Linked DNA regions of Macaca fascicularis. The protein of the gene in region 1 purifies or fractionates together with the protein of each later gene. This does not show direct contact. Links are inferred from orthologs where the notes say so. Each region holds a gene or a part of one and is shown on either strand. Other genes may lie near its edges.

The links. Proteins that work in one complex are often made in the same cells at the same time.
Region 2: the proteins of UBXN7 (region 1) and CUL2 purify together in Homo sapiens (affinity purification with mass spectrometry; 6 studies listed by BioGRID and IntAct, with this or other methods). This does not show direct contact. The link is inferred for Macaca fascicularis from reciprocal best matches to the Homo sapiens genes UBXN7 and CUL2.
Region 3: the proteins of UBXN7 (region 1) and NPLOC4 purify together in Homo sapiens (affinity purification with mass spectrometry; 3 studies listed by BioGRID and IntAct, with this or other methods). This does not show direct contact. The link is inferred for Macaca fascicularis from reciprocal best matches to the Homo sapiens genes UBXN7 and NPLOC4.

The regions. Positions count from the first base shown.
Region 1 is NC_088376.1:1,838,887-1,844,266, forward strand, and holds the start of UBXN7 (UBX domain-containing protein 7), read right to left. Parts: upstream 3,391-5,380; coding exon 3,318-3,390; intron 3,242-3,317; coding exon of another isoform or gene 3,193-3,241; intron 2,439-3,192; coding exon of another isoform or gene 2,412-2,438; exon of another isoform or gene 2,365-2,411; intron 900-2,364; exon of another isoform or gene 756-899; intron 1-755. Other genes in the region: uncharacterized protein, read left to right, coding at 2,412-2,438, 3,193-3,241, 3,355-3,890. UniProt on the Homo sapiens protein: Ubiquitin-binding adapter that links a subset of NEDD8-associated cullin ring ligases (CRLs) to the segregase VCP/p97, to regulate turnover of their ubiquitination substrates.
Region 2 is NC_088383.1:35,798,875-35,803,533, forward strand, and holds part of CUL2 (cullin-2), read right to left. Parts: intron 2,446-4,659; coding exon 2,338-2,445; intron 1,677-2,337; coding exon 1,617-1,676; intron 800-1,616; coding exon 671-799; intron 567-670; coding exon 480-566; intron 1-479.
Region 3 is NC_088390.1:88,032,514-88,037,172, forward strand, and holds part of NPLOC4 (nuclear protein localization protein 4 homolog), read right to left. Parts: intron 3,974-4,659; coding exon 3,925-3,973; intron 2,501-3,924; coding exon 2,406-2,500; intron 171-2,405; coding exon 47-170; intron 1-46. UniProt on the Homo sapiens protein: The ternary complex containing UFD1, VCP and NPLOC4 binds ubiquitinated proteins and is necessary for the export of misfolded proteins from the ER to the cytoplasm, where they are degraded by the proteasome.

The sequences.
Region 1 (5,380 bases):
AGGATCGCCTGAACCCAAGAGGAGGAGACTGCAGTGAGCCATGATCAGACCACTGCACTTCAGTCTGTGTGGCAGTGTAAGACCCAATTCATCTCAAAACAACAACAACAAAAAAAGTTATTATGATATTGTCTTTTTAATAATCTCTTTTTTTAATCAGCCATTACTGAACCAGGCACACTGATGTGCACCTGTAGCCCCAGTTACTGGGAGGGCTGAGGCAAGAGGATGGCTGAGCCCAGAAGTTGGAAAACAGCCTGGGCAACAAAGAGAGGAGACCTCCATCTCTTAAAAAAAAAAAAAAAAAAAAAAAAAAAATCAAAACTCAGTCATTATGTCATACTCACTGAATCAGAGAGAGATCTGTTCTATTCAGTAAGAAATAAGACTTTTCTAAAATCTTTCAATTTTCCGTTCTATTTCTAAATGCCAAAGAAAAGATAAGACTCACATTTATTTTAATTTTTTTCTTTTTCTTTTTTTCCCTCCTGCCTAAGGAATAAGGACTCACATTTTTGATGATGCATTTGTTTTTACAAGAATGTTGAGCTTCCAAGTAAAACCTCTGTGAAATCAGAGCATAAGTGATTAAGGTCACTATAATTCATCCAGCAATTAATAAATGTAAAATACCTTTTAATCATAAACACTATGATTTAAACATATGTGGAGAGAACTCCAAAAAAATTCTTTTTAAGGCATGTAAAAAAGGCAAAAAGAAACCAATCATGTGTTTCTAATGGTTAATCACTAACTTGTAAGAAGAATCCCAAAAATTATCAATAGAAATTCACAGTATTTCAGGAACACTCTGAGGTATATTCCCTCTGTAGATTTTCAGACATCATTGTCTACTGATGGAGGGCCTCCAACTTGATCCAGAAATCAAGCTGTGTAGACTAACAGAAACAGAATTAAAGCAATTAAGTGAGTCAATTCACCTCATCACACTTTGGTTTTTTTGTGCACCTAATAAAAATGTTGCAACAGAAGTAGTAAAGTGGCGTTAAACCAATCAGAGTTTGGGAAGACTAGTAATTAGCATAAGAAACTGAAAATTAATTAAGTGGCTTTTAGGGCCAGGCACGGTGGCTTACGCCTGTAATCCTAGCACTTTGGGAGGCTGAGGTGAGTGGATCATTTGAGGACAGGAGTTCAAGACCGGCCAGGCCAACATGATGAAACCCCGTCTTTACTAAAAATACAAAAATTAGCCGGGCCTCGTGGCAGGCGCCTGTAGTCCCAGCTACTAGGGAGGCTGAGACAGGAGAATCGCTTGAACCCGGGAGGTAGAGGTTGCAGTGAGCCGAGATCGTACCACTGCACTCCAGCCTGGGCAACAGAGCGAGACTCTGTCTCAAAATAATAATAATAATGTGGCTTTTTTTCCTTCTTTTTGTTTTTTGAGAAATGGTCTTGCTCTCCTGCCAGGGATGGAGTGCAGTGGCATGATCAACTCACTGCAGCCTTTAACTCCTAGGCTCAAGCAATCCTCCCACCTCAGCCTCCCCAGTAGCTGGGACTACATGTCGGTGCCACTACATCCAGCTCACTTTTTTTTTCTGTATAGATGGGGCCTCACTATGTTTTGCCCAGGATGGTTTCTAACTCCTTGCCTCACGTGAATCTCCAGCCTCCGTCTCCCAAACTGCCGGGATTACAGGTGTGAGACACCGCGCCAGGCCCAAGTGGCATCATAAACTATCTCTAGGAAATCTAAAGAAAGGATTAATAGTGATATTCACTTCTCTATCAGATTCACTGCGAAAATTTTTCTATATAAGCATAACGCATCAACACTAACTTATATACACAATAATCTTCTCCACAGCAATGATTTGTTAGACATTACGAAATCCTTTATATATTTAATAATTCAATCCTTTATATCTTCAATAATCCAATCACAAAGTTTAAAAATATTAAGAGAAGTTATCATGTAACTCCTCACCCCAATTTCATTACAAATTTTACTTTACTAACTTTGACCTGATGTTCCATGCCCACAAGCTAGATAACAATGCGTCAAATATCTCGTTATCACTGCAAAGCAAAAAAATAAAGCTAGCTTTAATATAAAACTTTAACTAGTATACAGCCTGTAGTAGTTAAAACAATATAAAATTTTACTTAACCAGATACTCCACGTTAAACTCTAGGAACATTAACATGGAAACATTCTCCGCATCTAACACATTCCGAGATAAAGTACAGATCCGTTGAGAAAGGGAACTAACATTCTGACCTCCTTCCAAAATGACAAACTAGAACGGCAAAATTACACTCAGGCACACTGGAGTACTCTTCCCTCAAATCCCTCCACAGAGCACTTCATCATTTGCTCCGCCCTCTAATAACTCATGCAAGAAAAGTTCAGCACCATCAGAGAGAAACAAGACAGAATTCAGAGAATGGCTTTAGGGCCTTTCCTCCAGGCGGTAAGAGGATCTGCGTGTGCCCTTCGCAGGGGTCCAAAGGGAGAGAACAACCTAGGCCTAGGGTTTCGGGGATACTGACACCCAGAAACAGATTTTCTCTCAAAGAAGTTTCTGCCGCCATCCCTATCTTATCAGCAGGAGGCCCCGGCGCCATCGTCTCCGTCTTTATGATTTTATTATGGGGAGGTGGGAAACGCCACCCAGGATTCCTCCAGGCCTCCCCGATTCAGCTTCGGGGTCCCCCTCATTCTTCCCTCTAAGCCGCAGTCCCCGGGTCCTCCTCGGCCCCCCCCTTCTGGCGGCCTATCCCCCGGGAAGTGTACGGGCACGGCCGAACCCACCGGCCTCGCCGTGAAGGCGGGAGGGCCCGAACCCGCCAGGGCCACGGCGATGGCTCCGAGGGGCCCGGAAAGGGGAAGGGCAGGCCGGGGACCGGGGCAGGATGACCTGGCCGGGGAAGAAAGGAAAACGGAGGTGAGGAGACGCACCGCCCCGCAGGGCTGCACCGAGAAGGGAGATGATGAAGGAGGAGGAGGAGGGCGGTGGCCCGGGTGCGGCCCCCCACTCCTCCCGCCCCCGGGTCCCCGGGCCGGCGGGGGCGGCGGACTCGGCCCATTCCCAGGTCTGGGCTGGCGGGGGGCTGGGGGATCTCCCTCCACACTACTAGGAGACAGAGAACGAGGGTCTCGGGAGCGCGGGGGCTGTCTCCCGCCTGAACCCGGAGACCCCGACGCCGTCGTCGCCTCTTCCTCAGGAGGGAGGACGGGAGCTGTGGGTAAAGCCCGAAGGAGGAATGCCTGAAGGTGAGGGGAAGCCCGGGGCAGACCCGCCGCCCGCTCCGGACCCCCCCCTCCACCTTCCGGTAACCGCGTCTCTTACCGGTGATGGCGGTGAACTGTTGAATTAACCCCTTCAGCGCCGAGGACGCCGCGGAGCCCCCGTGGGCAGCCATCTTACCGCCGCCGCCGCCGCCGCCGAACAACAACACAGACACACACGGACCGCCCTCCCCCACCTCGCCGCGCGGTGTGCGCAGGCGCATTGACCGCCCCTCAAGCCCCGCCCCCAAGCCCCGCCCCTCCCGGCCCCCTCCAGTGGTCTGCGCAGGCGCACTTGCCTACCGGGCCGGAGCTCTACCCGCTCTCCGGTTGGCTGCTCGGTTGCTGCCTGCCCGGTGCATCGTTTTTGCCACTGCTGGTGCTTTCCTCTCCGGGCTCCAAGGCTAGTCTCGCAGGCGCAGTGTCGATTCCTACATTCCGAAGGAAGCTTCCGTCTTGGCAGATATTTCGCATTTCAGCTTCGCGAGCTTTATTGACAGGGCCAACTCTGGTAACGGTATTTTTTTCTGCTTCGCAGTTGCTCCGCGCTCTGTTAGGTCCCATCAAAATACAAACCCTGCCTCCTCGCTTTGAAGCGACTCTCCCCGACCCCGCCCCCCAGCCTCTAGACTAATGGCTCAGCTCACCGACTGTGGCGAGTGAAATTCCAGAACCCTTCATGCCAAAGAAAGCACCTAGCGCAGGGTTGACACCCAGTGGGTTTTCATCAGCGATTATTTAGTCTGCTTTCCTTAAATAAATCGGCCATCACGTCTCCCGTTAGCGTCTTAGTGAGACCCCAAGAGGTGTCATGTGTATAAAAAGAAACTCTGTATATGCAATAGAGTTGAGAAGACATATAGAAAGGAGACTGGAAAAGTGTGCTCAAAACGCTGGTAATGGTTACCTTCAGAGAGGAGAACGATGGGCACGATGGTCAAAGCAGACTTTACTTCGAGTTTCTTATTTATCTTTTTATTTTTAAACAAACATTACTGGCCGGGCGCGGTGGCTCATAACTGTAATCCCAGCACTTTGGAAGGCCGAGGTGGGAGAATCGCTTGAGGCAAGGAGTTCGAGACCAGACTGGGAAATATATCAAGAATCCATCTCAAAAAAAAAAAATTCGTGTGTTACTTGAATAATTTTATTTTGTAAAACAGTTACATGAGTGGGGTGCGCTCAAATCTAATGATTCCCCACCTTGCCCATAAAGTTAAAAGAGATTCCGTGCAGCCCGGCGCGGTGGCTCACACCTGTAATCCCAGCACTTTGGGAGGCCGAGGTGGGCGGATCATGAGGTCAGGAGATCGAGACCATCCTGGCTAACACGGTGAAACCCCGTCTCTACTAAAAATACAAAAAAATTAGCCGGGCGAGGTGGCGGGCACCTGTAGTCCCAGCTGCTGGGGAGGCTGAGGCAGGAGAATGACGTCAACCCGGGAGGTGGAGCTTGCAGTGAGCCGAGATTGCACCACTGCACTCCAGCCTGGGCGACTGAGCAAGACTCCGTCTCAAAAAAAAAAAGGAGATTCCGTGCGATTCTGTTTGTTTTAGCCTCCTACCTTCCAGCCTCCACCCACATATTTTGCATCTTCAGAGGAAAATGGCCCAATAAAAGATGGGATGAGCTATCTGAAGAATTGACACATCTTAAGAGTAAATATGCTATTGGGGAGAATTTAAATAGCCATGTTAAATCAAGGGGTATAGTTTTTTGTTTTGTTTTGTTTTGTTTGACAGGGAGTCTCGCTCTGTTGCCCAGGCTGGAGTGCAGTGGCGCGATCTCAGCTCACTGCAACCTCCGTCTCCCCAGTTCAAGCGATTCTCCTGCCTCAGCCTCCCAAGTAACTGGGATTACAGGCACGAACCACCACGCCAGACTAATTTTTCTATTTTTAGTAGAGACGATGTTGACCAGGCTAGTCTCAAACTGCTGACCTCAAGTGATCCGCCTGCCTCAGCCTCCCAAAGTGTTGGGATTACAGGCATGAACCATCACGCCCGGCCGGGCTATAGTTTCAGGAAGATATGATTACTGTAAAAGAAAGCAGACTCCAGTAATCCCAGCACTTTGGGAAGCCGAGGCGGGCGGATCACCTGAAGTCAGGAGTTCGAGACCAG
Region 2 (4,659 bases), on another chromosome or scaffold:
AGTTAGAGTCCAGCCTGGGCAACATAGTGAGATCCTATCTCTTAAAAAAAAGAAAAAGGAAAAAAGGAGTGCATATTATATTCAAAATGTCTACTATGCAGGAAAATTTATTGAATAACGCAGGAGAAATAAGAACCTGCTACCACTTATCGGTGTGCAAGCAAGCTGAAATGATGTAAAAATAAATTGAAATGGAATTGCACTCCAAAATTTGTACTTAAAGGAATATTTTAGGTGTATTCATTTAAAGTAGTAATAATCTTTTATCGTTAATACTGATTATCCAGTGAATCTTCATATATAAGCATACATATTTTGTCCTTTTAATATAGTATTTGTATATCCCACTGTGTGAATATAAAAATATACATTTAACCGGATGAATTGTTTCCTGTTACTGCATACAATGCTGCAATGAACATCTTTATACGCTTGTGAGTGAATTTCTAGGACAGTACCAGATTAAAGACTTATATTACCTTTAATTTGTTGATCATGGCTTCTTCAGAGTCCATAGACATGGATAACCCATGAATTAAACGTTTTGCCAGCATTCTTGCGTAGAACTGCATTTAAAAATATTTTAAAAGATCACTTCCTTTCTAATGATTTAGCATTCAGAAATAAAGTTGACCAAAACACAAATGAAACTTTTTTGTTCACAGCATACCTTTTGAAAGACATCCTTGTCATCAATGTATTTGAACACCGTGATGAAGCTCGTGAGCCTGTCTTCCACTTCATTCTCTGTCATCCCTTTCGCCGACTTCTTCAGTAAGTTGTCACAGTACTTAGCAAGCTCATGTAGAAATTGATAATAAATCTTACAAAGGGTGCTTCTGTATATATCATGCCTCAAAGGAGGCAAAGTGGTGATACAAGATAAGATCAGTGGACAGAGTTTTTACTGTTTTTTTAAGAGACTGGGTCTTGCTCTGTCGCCCAGGCTGGATTGCAATGGACAACATCATAGCTCACTGCAGCCTCAAACTCCTAGGCTCAAAGGATCCTCCTGCCTCAGCCTCCCAAGTAGTTGGGACTACAGGCATGCACAACCACACCAGGCTTCTAAAGCTTTATGTAATAATCATAAGTGTAACCTAAATAAAATACACATCATAAGGTATATTTTTTAAAAGAACAAGTCAAATATCGAATTATCACTTATTGACCAATAAAGCAACTGATATGGGTAATATAAATTTTTAAAAGAACACCTGGGTGAGTTTCGAGCGGTTTTATAATTTTTGACATTGAATAAGTACTTTAAAAAAAGTTACAAAAACCTTGTAAGCAAGTTTCCTTCAAAGGTTACCCAAACTTTATCATCAGACTTCCTTTAGATTTCAGATATAACAATCTACATGAAAAGTATTAAAATTATTTCAAAATAGACATACATTAAAACCCAAACTTTGTAAAATGATTATTTTTTAAGAAAAGACACACGGTATGTTGCATTCCTTACATAAATGCCAAACTATGTACAATGTAGATAATTTTCCTTTTGTTTTTCTGAAAAATGCTACAAAAACCAAATTAATTTGATTTTCTCAGTTTTCATGTTCTAATACTGACTTTTCATAAGATTACTTTTCAGCAAACACCAAACTTACCAGTTCAGGTGCTTTGCAAACAGACTTAGGTTCTCTGTAATTTACAACCGACGTAAGGGCCTACATAAAAAACAGGCCATAATTAACCACCAGCCATAGGGAAAAAGTACAGCTAGTTCAATACAAGCCATAATCCATACATCCAAAATTACCCTGCCACATACAACACAGCATTGCCAGTAGTTTGTTAATATTTTCGCACCTAACACAGTGGACTCCTCTGATTTTATTCTCTAATTACAAAATATCTATACATCCTGTTGCTATTGCAAGATACTCTGTAACTCATTACCAAAATTTGAACAGATAAAATAACACTACTTAAAAAAAAAAAACTTACAATCTTGTAAGTAACTTTCCTTTAAAGTATACAAAAGTTCACGTAAAACATATCTATTCTCTTTTCAAATATTATTCAATGTAGCCTAAGTATTATGGCCAAAGAAAAAAATCAGTACTAAAAATTGTAAAATTATGCATGTCTATCCAGAAGATATCAGATTAAAAATTCCCCTTATATAGCATAATCATGGGAAATTCTACAAGCATTCAATTTACTATTCAGTTAATAATTTAAAAGTTATATTATTTCCATTTTGAATTTCATATTTAATCTCCATGTCTAGGTCAGAAATCTCATACTAGGAGTCTAATCCTGAAACTACCTAAAGAATGACAGAGCTTTATGTACATATATAGTATATACGTATTTAAAACTTACCTTATCCAACGCACTCATGAAGTGCTGATCACCATTCAAAACAGTATTGATAAGCTGAACAAATTTACCATGCACTTCCAAAACTGACTCCACAAATAGTGTTGGCATCTAAAAACATGAAATATAAGTACAAAACCACATTTTAAAAGGTTCAAGTATAAACTACTAGGTTTATTAGACTTGAGTAAATTTTTCCTCAAGGAAATTATGTTTTACACATGCACACTTCTCAGAAAGTGGTTTTAACAATTTAAAACTTTGGTGTTGAAAATAGCTTGTCGGCCGGGCGCGGTGGCTCAACCCTGTAATTCCAGCACTTTGGGAGGCCGAGACGGGTGGATCACGAGGTCAGGAGATCGAGACCATCCTGGCTAACACGGTGAAACCCCGTCTCTACTAAAAAAAAATACAAAAAAACTAGCCGGGCGAAGTGGCGGGCACCTGTAGTCCCAGTTACTCGGGAGGCTGAGGCAGGAGAATGGCGTAAACCCGGGAGGCGGAGCTTGCAGTGAGCTGAGATCCGGCCACTGCACTCCAACCTGGGCAATACAGGGAGACTCCGTCTCAAAAAAAAAAAAAAAAAAAAAAAAGAAAGAAAATAGCTTGTCAGCCGGGCATGGTGGCTCACGCCTATAATCCCAGCACTTTGGGAGGCCGAGGCAGGGGGATTGCCTGAGGTCAGGAGTTCGAGACTAGTGTGGCCAACATGGTGAAACCCTGTCTCTACTAAAAATACAAAAAAATTAGCCAGGCGTGGTGGCATGCGCCTGTAATCCCAGCTACTCGGGAAGCTGAGGCAGGGGAATTACTTGAACCAGGGAGGTGGAGGTTGCAGTGAGCAGAGATCGCACCACTGCATTCCAGCTTGGGCGACAGAGCAAGACTCCGTCTCAGAAAAAACAAACAAACAAAAAAACAACAAAAAAGAAAGAAAATAGCTTGTCATTCAACACAACAAGCTAATGTCATAGACTGTCTAGTACCTGCCAGAAGAACCCACCAAAAGCATACTTTTCTACTGTGTTGGAATAACTTCAGGATAACAAGACCTGAACTACCAGGTCTATCACTTTCATAGAGGCTTATATAAGCAAAGACTGCCTGCAAAGTCACTGAAGGCTGAGAGAGAGGAGAGTTAAAAAGCCAGTAACCCTGAGAACAGAGACCCCTTGAACTCAGCAAGACAATCCCTCACATCTCAGAGAGAAGAAATACCTAATAGTGCAAAAGTGAGTTTTCCCTCTTAATGGAGATAACCATGAAGAAATTACTACCTAAGACTTAACTAAGTCAGCTGGATTTGAGTCTACTACAAATGTATTCACTTATGTTTCCATCTCCCAGCCTTGACACAAAATTCTATGCTTCTATGCCCCATGTCATTGGACATGGAATCTATAAACGTAATAACATAAACTAGTAAGTTTGACAAATAATACAGAGTAATAAATCTGCATAATACAAACTAATAGTTCTACAAAAATAGAAAACTGTGGTAAAAGGAATTTGAAGAAATTAAAAAATAGTAAACTTACACGATTGTGGCAGAACATAAAAACTAAAAATTATTACTTGCCAAAGACCAATCTGTCGCTAAGGTAACAGCCTCTAAAAAGTGCTCCTGAACAGTGACGGCTACACACATACACACAGATACTATCTTTTTTTTTTTTTTTTTGAGACGGAGTCTTGTGCTGTCACCCAGGCTGGAGTGCAGTGGTGTGATCTTGGCTCACTGTAAGCTCCGCCTCCCGGGTTCACGCCATTCTCCCGCCTCAGCCGCCTGAGTAGCTGGGACTACAGGCACCCGCCAACATGCCCGGCTAATTTTTTGTATTTTTAGTAGAGATGGGGTTTCACGGTGTTAGCCAGGATGGTCTCCATCTCCTGACCTCGTGATCCGCCCGCCTCGGCCTCCCAAAGTGCTGGGATTACAGGCGTGACAGATACTACCTTACAGATTAAGTCAAACAGCTCTACTTAAGAAGAGACAGTAACAGTTGAAGTTACGTCTCTCTTGCTCATCATCAACCGTCACCAGTAATAACAAGATTTGGTGATAGGAAAGACAAACTGTTACAGTCATGTGATTGGTAAAGTACTCAAGGAAGATGAGTATTAGGGACACGAGGGTTATTGTTTCCGGTATTTGGGGCAGCAAGCATATACTTACAGAAGATTATTTGAATCTAAATTTGCTTACTAGACAACCAAATTCACAGAATATGGAAAGGAGGAAAATTACAAGTTGTCTATATTACCGCTGATTAATACTACTACCATGACAACAAACAATGTTATCAACGCCAATTACAGAAAAAC
Region 3 (4,659 bases), on another chromosome or scaffold:
TTTCTCAGCCATGAAGACAAATCTAGACAGACAGGGAACAGCTCACCTGTCTGTTCAGCGTGATGGCGCTCGGCTGGCACTTAGTACAGATGCCGTTCGGCCACGGGAGGTGCCCCTCGCACCCTGACTTAATCTTGCAGCTGATGTTCTCCAGGGCAACAAATTTCCCCCTACGTAGAAGAGAAGCAACTTACTTAAACATCACATTGGTGAAAAGTTGAGCAAGAGGCTGGAAGCTACATGTTAAGTATCTTACACTTCCTGAACAGCATCTCAGGAGCTAAGCACGTGGCAGCAGCAGGGAAGATGTGCTAAGGATGTTTCTAATGGAAGCTCTACTTGCAGTTCCAGCACATTCCGAATCCTAGCTTGTCCCATATACTGCAACCACACAGAAACACACAACTACTTTCCTACCAAACTGTGGTGTTTTTTTACTATCTATCACTAACATGCAAGAAAGTTTGCAAGAATATTGCAGAATATCTATTGACGTCACCTGTGCCACTGAGCGGACATGAGGCTGGTACAGGTTTCATTACATTATCAGCAACGTTGACATTAGCCCAGTACTTAAGATATTTGTAAAAAATTATTATTCATGTGAAAAATCTGATTAGGATATATAATTAAGGCAACTTCACTGCTTTAGGCTAAAATAAAAACTACTGTTGAAGATTGTCAATGAGAAAGTCCTGGACCCTACTCTGAACTTCTTCTTTTTCTCCAGCTTTATTGAAACATAATTGACAAAAAAAAAAAAAAAAAATTTTATCTTTAAGGTGGACGTGAGGTTTTGTTTTTCAGATAAAAACTATATACTTACAGTGTAAGAAATGATATTCTGAAACATGTCCACACTGTGGAATGGCTAAATTAAGCTAATTAACATATGCATTACCTCACATACTGATCATTTTTTGTGGTGAGCCATTTTTGGTATCATAGCATCTAGGAAGAAATGACTCGTCACCAAATCTGCATGTTAATGGCAGCCACAAACATGCCCCCACTAGGGACTGTGATCCTTGACCTAGACTGACAAAAGGCTGACCAAGTCTCTTTCACTACAATCAATCTGCACCCACTCCTTAGTCCAGAGAGTTCCATAGCTTTTCCCACTGACAAGCAATAGTGGGTTTCTAGTAGGTTTCTTCTTCTGGTCTAACATTTTTAAAAAGTCATTTTAGGATGTCAGCGGGTTGTCAGAGAAAAGCTACAATCAGGCGAATATGACATCCTTCACAAAATGTTGCTGACTTCAGTTCAGCCACCATCTCCTCTTGTCGCACTGACAGGAATTACAAAATAATAGCTGAAGCCTGTTACTTTCTGGTAGGGTGTACAGAGAGCCAACAGGAGAAAGTCGTACAGGCAAGGACTTGCCACGGCTTAAAAGAAATCAAAATGCTCAGTTCACCCCTCTCTGGCCACTGTTACCACCTGTGCCTACCTGGCTGAGCCTATGGGCAACTACTGTGGTGCCCTGAGGACAAGTGGCTGCAGCCCCTGCTGTGGCTGAAAACCAAGCTGACTCAGAGGCCGGGCTCTAGGGAAAGGATTGCCAGGCACTGAAGTGGGGGAGCTGAGATTATCACAGGGTAGTTGTTTTTCTGAAAAGCAGAGAATGAACTCAGATCACAGATACAAGAGGCCACCATCACAGATGCTATCTTGCCGGGGCGGTGTGTGTGGGGACAGCCTCTGTCCGACACTGCACTGTGGCTACACAACCAGATGCCTGCACAGTCACTGCCTTGCTAGCTCCCTTCTAGAACCAGGTTGGCCAGGTGAGGGGGCTCACACCTGTAATCCAGCACTTTGGGGAAACCAAGGCAGGAGGATCACTTGAGCCAAGGAGTTCCAGACCAGCCTGGGCAACATAGCGAGACCCCATCTCTTAAAAACATGTATGTGGGCCGGGCACGGTGGCTCACGTATGTAATCCCAGCACTGTGGGAGGTCGAGGCGGGCGGATTACGAGGTCAGGAGATCTAGACCATCCTGGCTAACACAGTGAAACCCCGCCTCTACTAAAAATACAAAAAATTAGAGAGGCATGGTGGTAGGCACCTGTAGTCCCAGCTACTCGGGAGGCTAAGGCAGGAGAATGGTGTGAACCCAGGAGGCGGAGCTTGCAGTGAGCCAAGATTGCGCCACTGCACTCCAGCCTGGGCGACAGAGCCAGACTCCGTCTCAAAAAAAAACAAAAAACAAAAAACAAAAAACAAAACATATATGTGTACATAAAATATAAATAAATATAGAACCAGGGTAACATTCAAAGGCGTGTGGCCCCTTCTCATCTTTACTTCTCTCATTCACACGTTCAGTGGCTATAAGCAACAACTGCCAGATACACAAAAAGGAATTTACGCACAACCAGGTCATAGCAAGCTGCTTACTTGTCAGCCCCTCCAGTCAGCTTCCGGATGTAGGCATGGAAGGACATGTGCTTCACAGGAGGCTCGAGATGGTTTAGATAGTCCTCATCGAATGGCTGCCAAGACACAGAGTAAGCAAGTGCAGTCACACCTGCTGGGTGCTCCAGGCGCTGAGCCTCCGTTGTGCACAGAGGCCAGGCAGCATGGCCTCGGCAAGTCAAGGCCCACAGCCAAAGCAGGTACTGGGGTCTCCCTTACCACTCTAGGTCAGAACCAAGTTTTTCTTTTTTAAATTAATTGATTTTCGTTATTGTTGTTTTTGTGTGTTTTGTTTGTTTATTTGAGACAGAGTCTCACTCTGTCGCCCAGGCTGGAGTACAATGGCACAGCGGCACAATCTCTGCTCACTGCAACCTCCACCTCTGAGTTCAAGCGATTCTTCTGACTCTGCCTCCCAAGTAGCTGGGACTATAGGCACGCGCCACCACGCCTGGCTAATTTTTGTATTTTTAGTAGAGACGGGGTTTCAGCATATTGGCCAGGCTGGTCTCAAACTCCTGACCTCGTGATCCAACCGCCCCGCCCCCCAAAGTGCTAGGATTACAGCGTGAGCCACTGAGTCCGGCCAATTTAATTGTTTTAGAGATGGGGTCTCACGCTGTTGCCCAGGCTGGAGTACAGTGGTACAATCACGGCTCACTGCAACCTTGACCTCCCAGCCTCAAGTGATTCTCTTGCCTCAGCTTCCCGAGTAGCTGGGACTACAGGCGTGAACCATCACACCCAGCTAATTTTTAAAATTTTTTGTAGAGACAGGGTATACAAAAAAAGAGTTGCCCAGGCTCAACAACTCCTAGGTTCAAGTGATCCTCTCACCCTGGCCTCCCAAAGTGTTGGGACTACAGGTGTGAACAGCACATAGCCAGAAGCAAGTTTATGGGTGGGCCATAACTTTGTGGGCCAGTTATCTTTTCAAGATTAAAATGAATCTCTATTAAAAACAAAACATTCTAAGTCAAATGAGTTTCAGGAAAATTTTGCAAAAAGAAATGCCACAAGATGAGGCAAGAGATGCCTCATGAAGAAAACCAGGTTGGCCTTCCTGCTGTAAATCCAGCATTAACAGCTCCAGTCAGCATCATTACGGTGACTCTCAATCTCACCAGGACAAACCAGTACAAGAGATGTGAGATTCAAGGCAAAGTAAATCGAAACAACGATAAGCACGGAAGCCGACAGACTCAGCTTTGTGTCAGATCTGAAAAGGATTGTCCAGGGAGTCTGCTGTAAATGCTGCCCCTTTATCACAGCCACACAAATGCTTCAGCCATTCATAATCAAGCGAGAAGGTCACTCCCATAAATAAAGGCTCGTCTTGTGTGCAGCTTGCACTAGGGGGAATATGAGGCCCAGGGCAATAAATAGATAAGTTCTTTGAACCACTACAACCAAGTGCATGGACTCAGGGAAAGCACTTAAGACAGCTGTCTACCCGCAGCCCCCCACACCGGCCCAGAACTTACTCCGCAGAGACTCTCACCTCTAGAGGGACGCAGTGCACGCATTTCCCCAACGGGCCGTGGCGGCATCTGAGGAGAGTAACAAGGCAGAAAAAGGCAGAGCAGTGAGGATGTCTGTGTTCCACTGCTGCCATCTCACACGTACGTCCTACTTTAACAGTGTTTCCGTGCCCACATGGAGTTATATTCCAGATGGCACATGGATGAACGTTTATATTTTAATTGTTGTTTTGTTTTGTTTAAAGACAGGCTCTCACTCTATCACCCAGGCTGGAGTGCAGTGGTGATCATGACTCACTGCAGCCTTGAATTCCTGGGCTCAAGCACTCCCACCTCAGCCTCCCGAGTATCTGGGACTCCAGGTGTGTAGCACCACACCCAGCAGTTTACTATTTATGTTGATATGAATGAGAAAAAACAGACCTGCACATCAAACCTGTGACTTCATGAGGATCAACTGCTTAAAATAACAAAAACCAAAGATAAAAGTGAACGAACTCAAAGTCAATTTAAGTAGTTTTTTGGCCAAAGGTGGTGGCTCATATCTCTAATCCCAACACTTTGGGAGGCTGAGATGGGTGGATCACCTGAGGTCAGGAGTTAAAGACAAGCCTGGCCAACACGGTGAAACCCCGTCTCTACTGAAAATACAAAAATTAGCTGGGCATGGTGGCAAGTGCCTGTAATGCCAGCTACTAGGGAGGCTGAGGCAGGAGAATCACTTGAACCTGAGAGGAGAAGGTTGCAATGAGCTG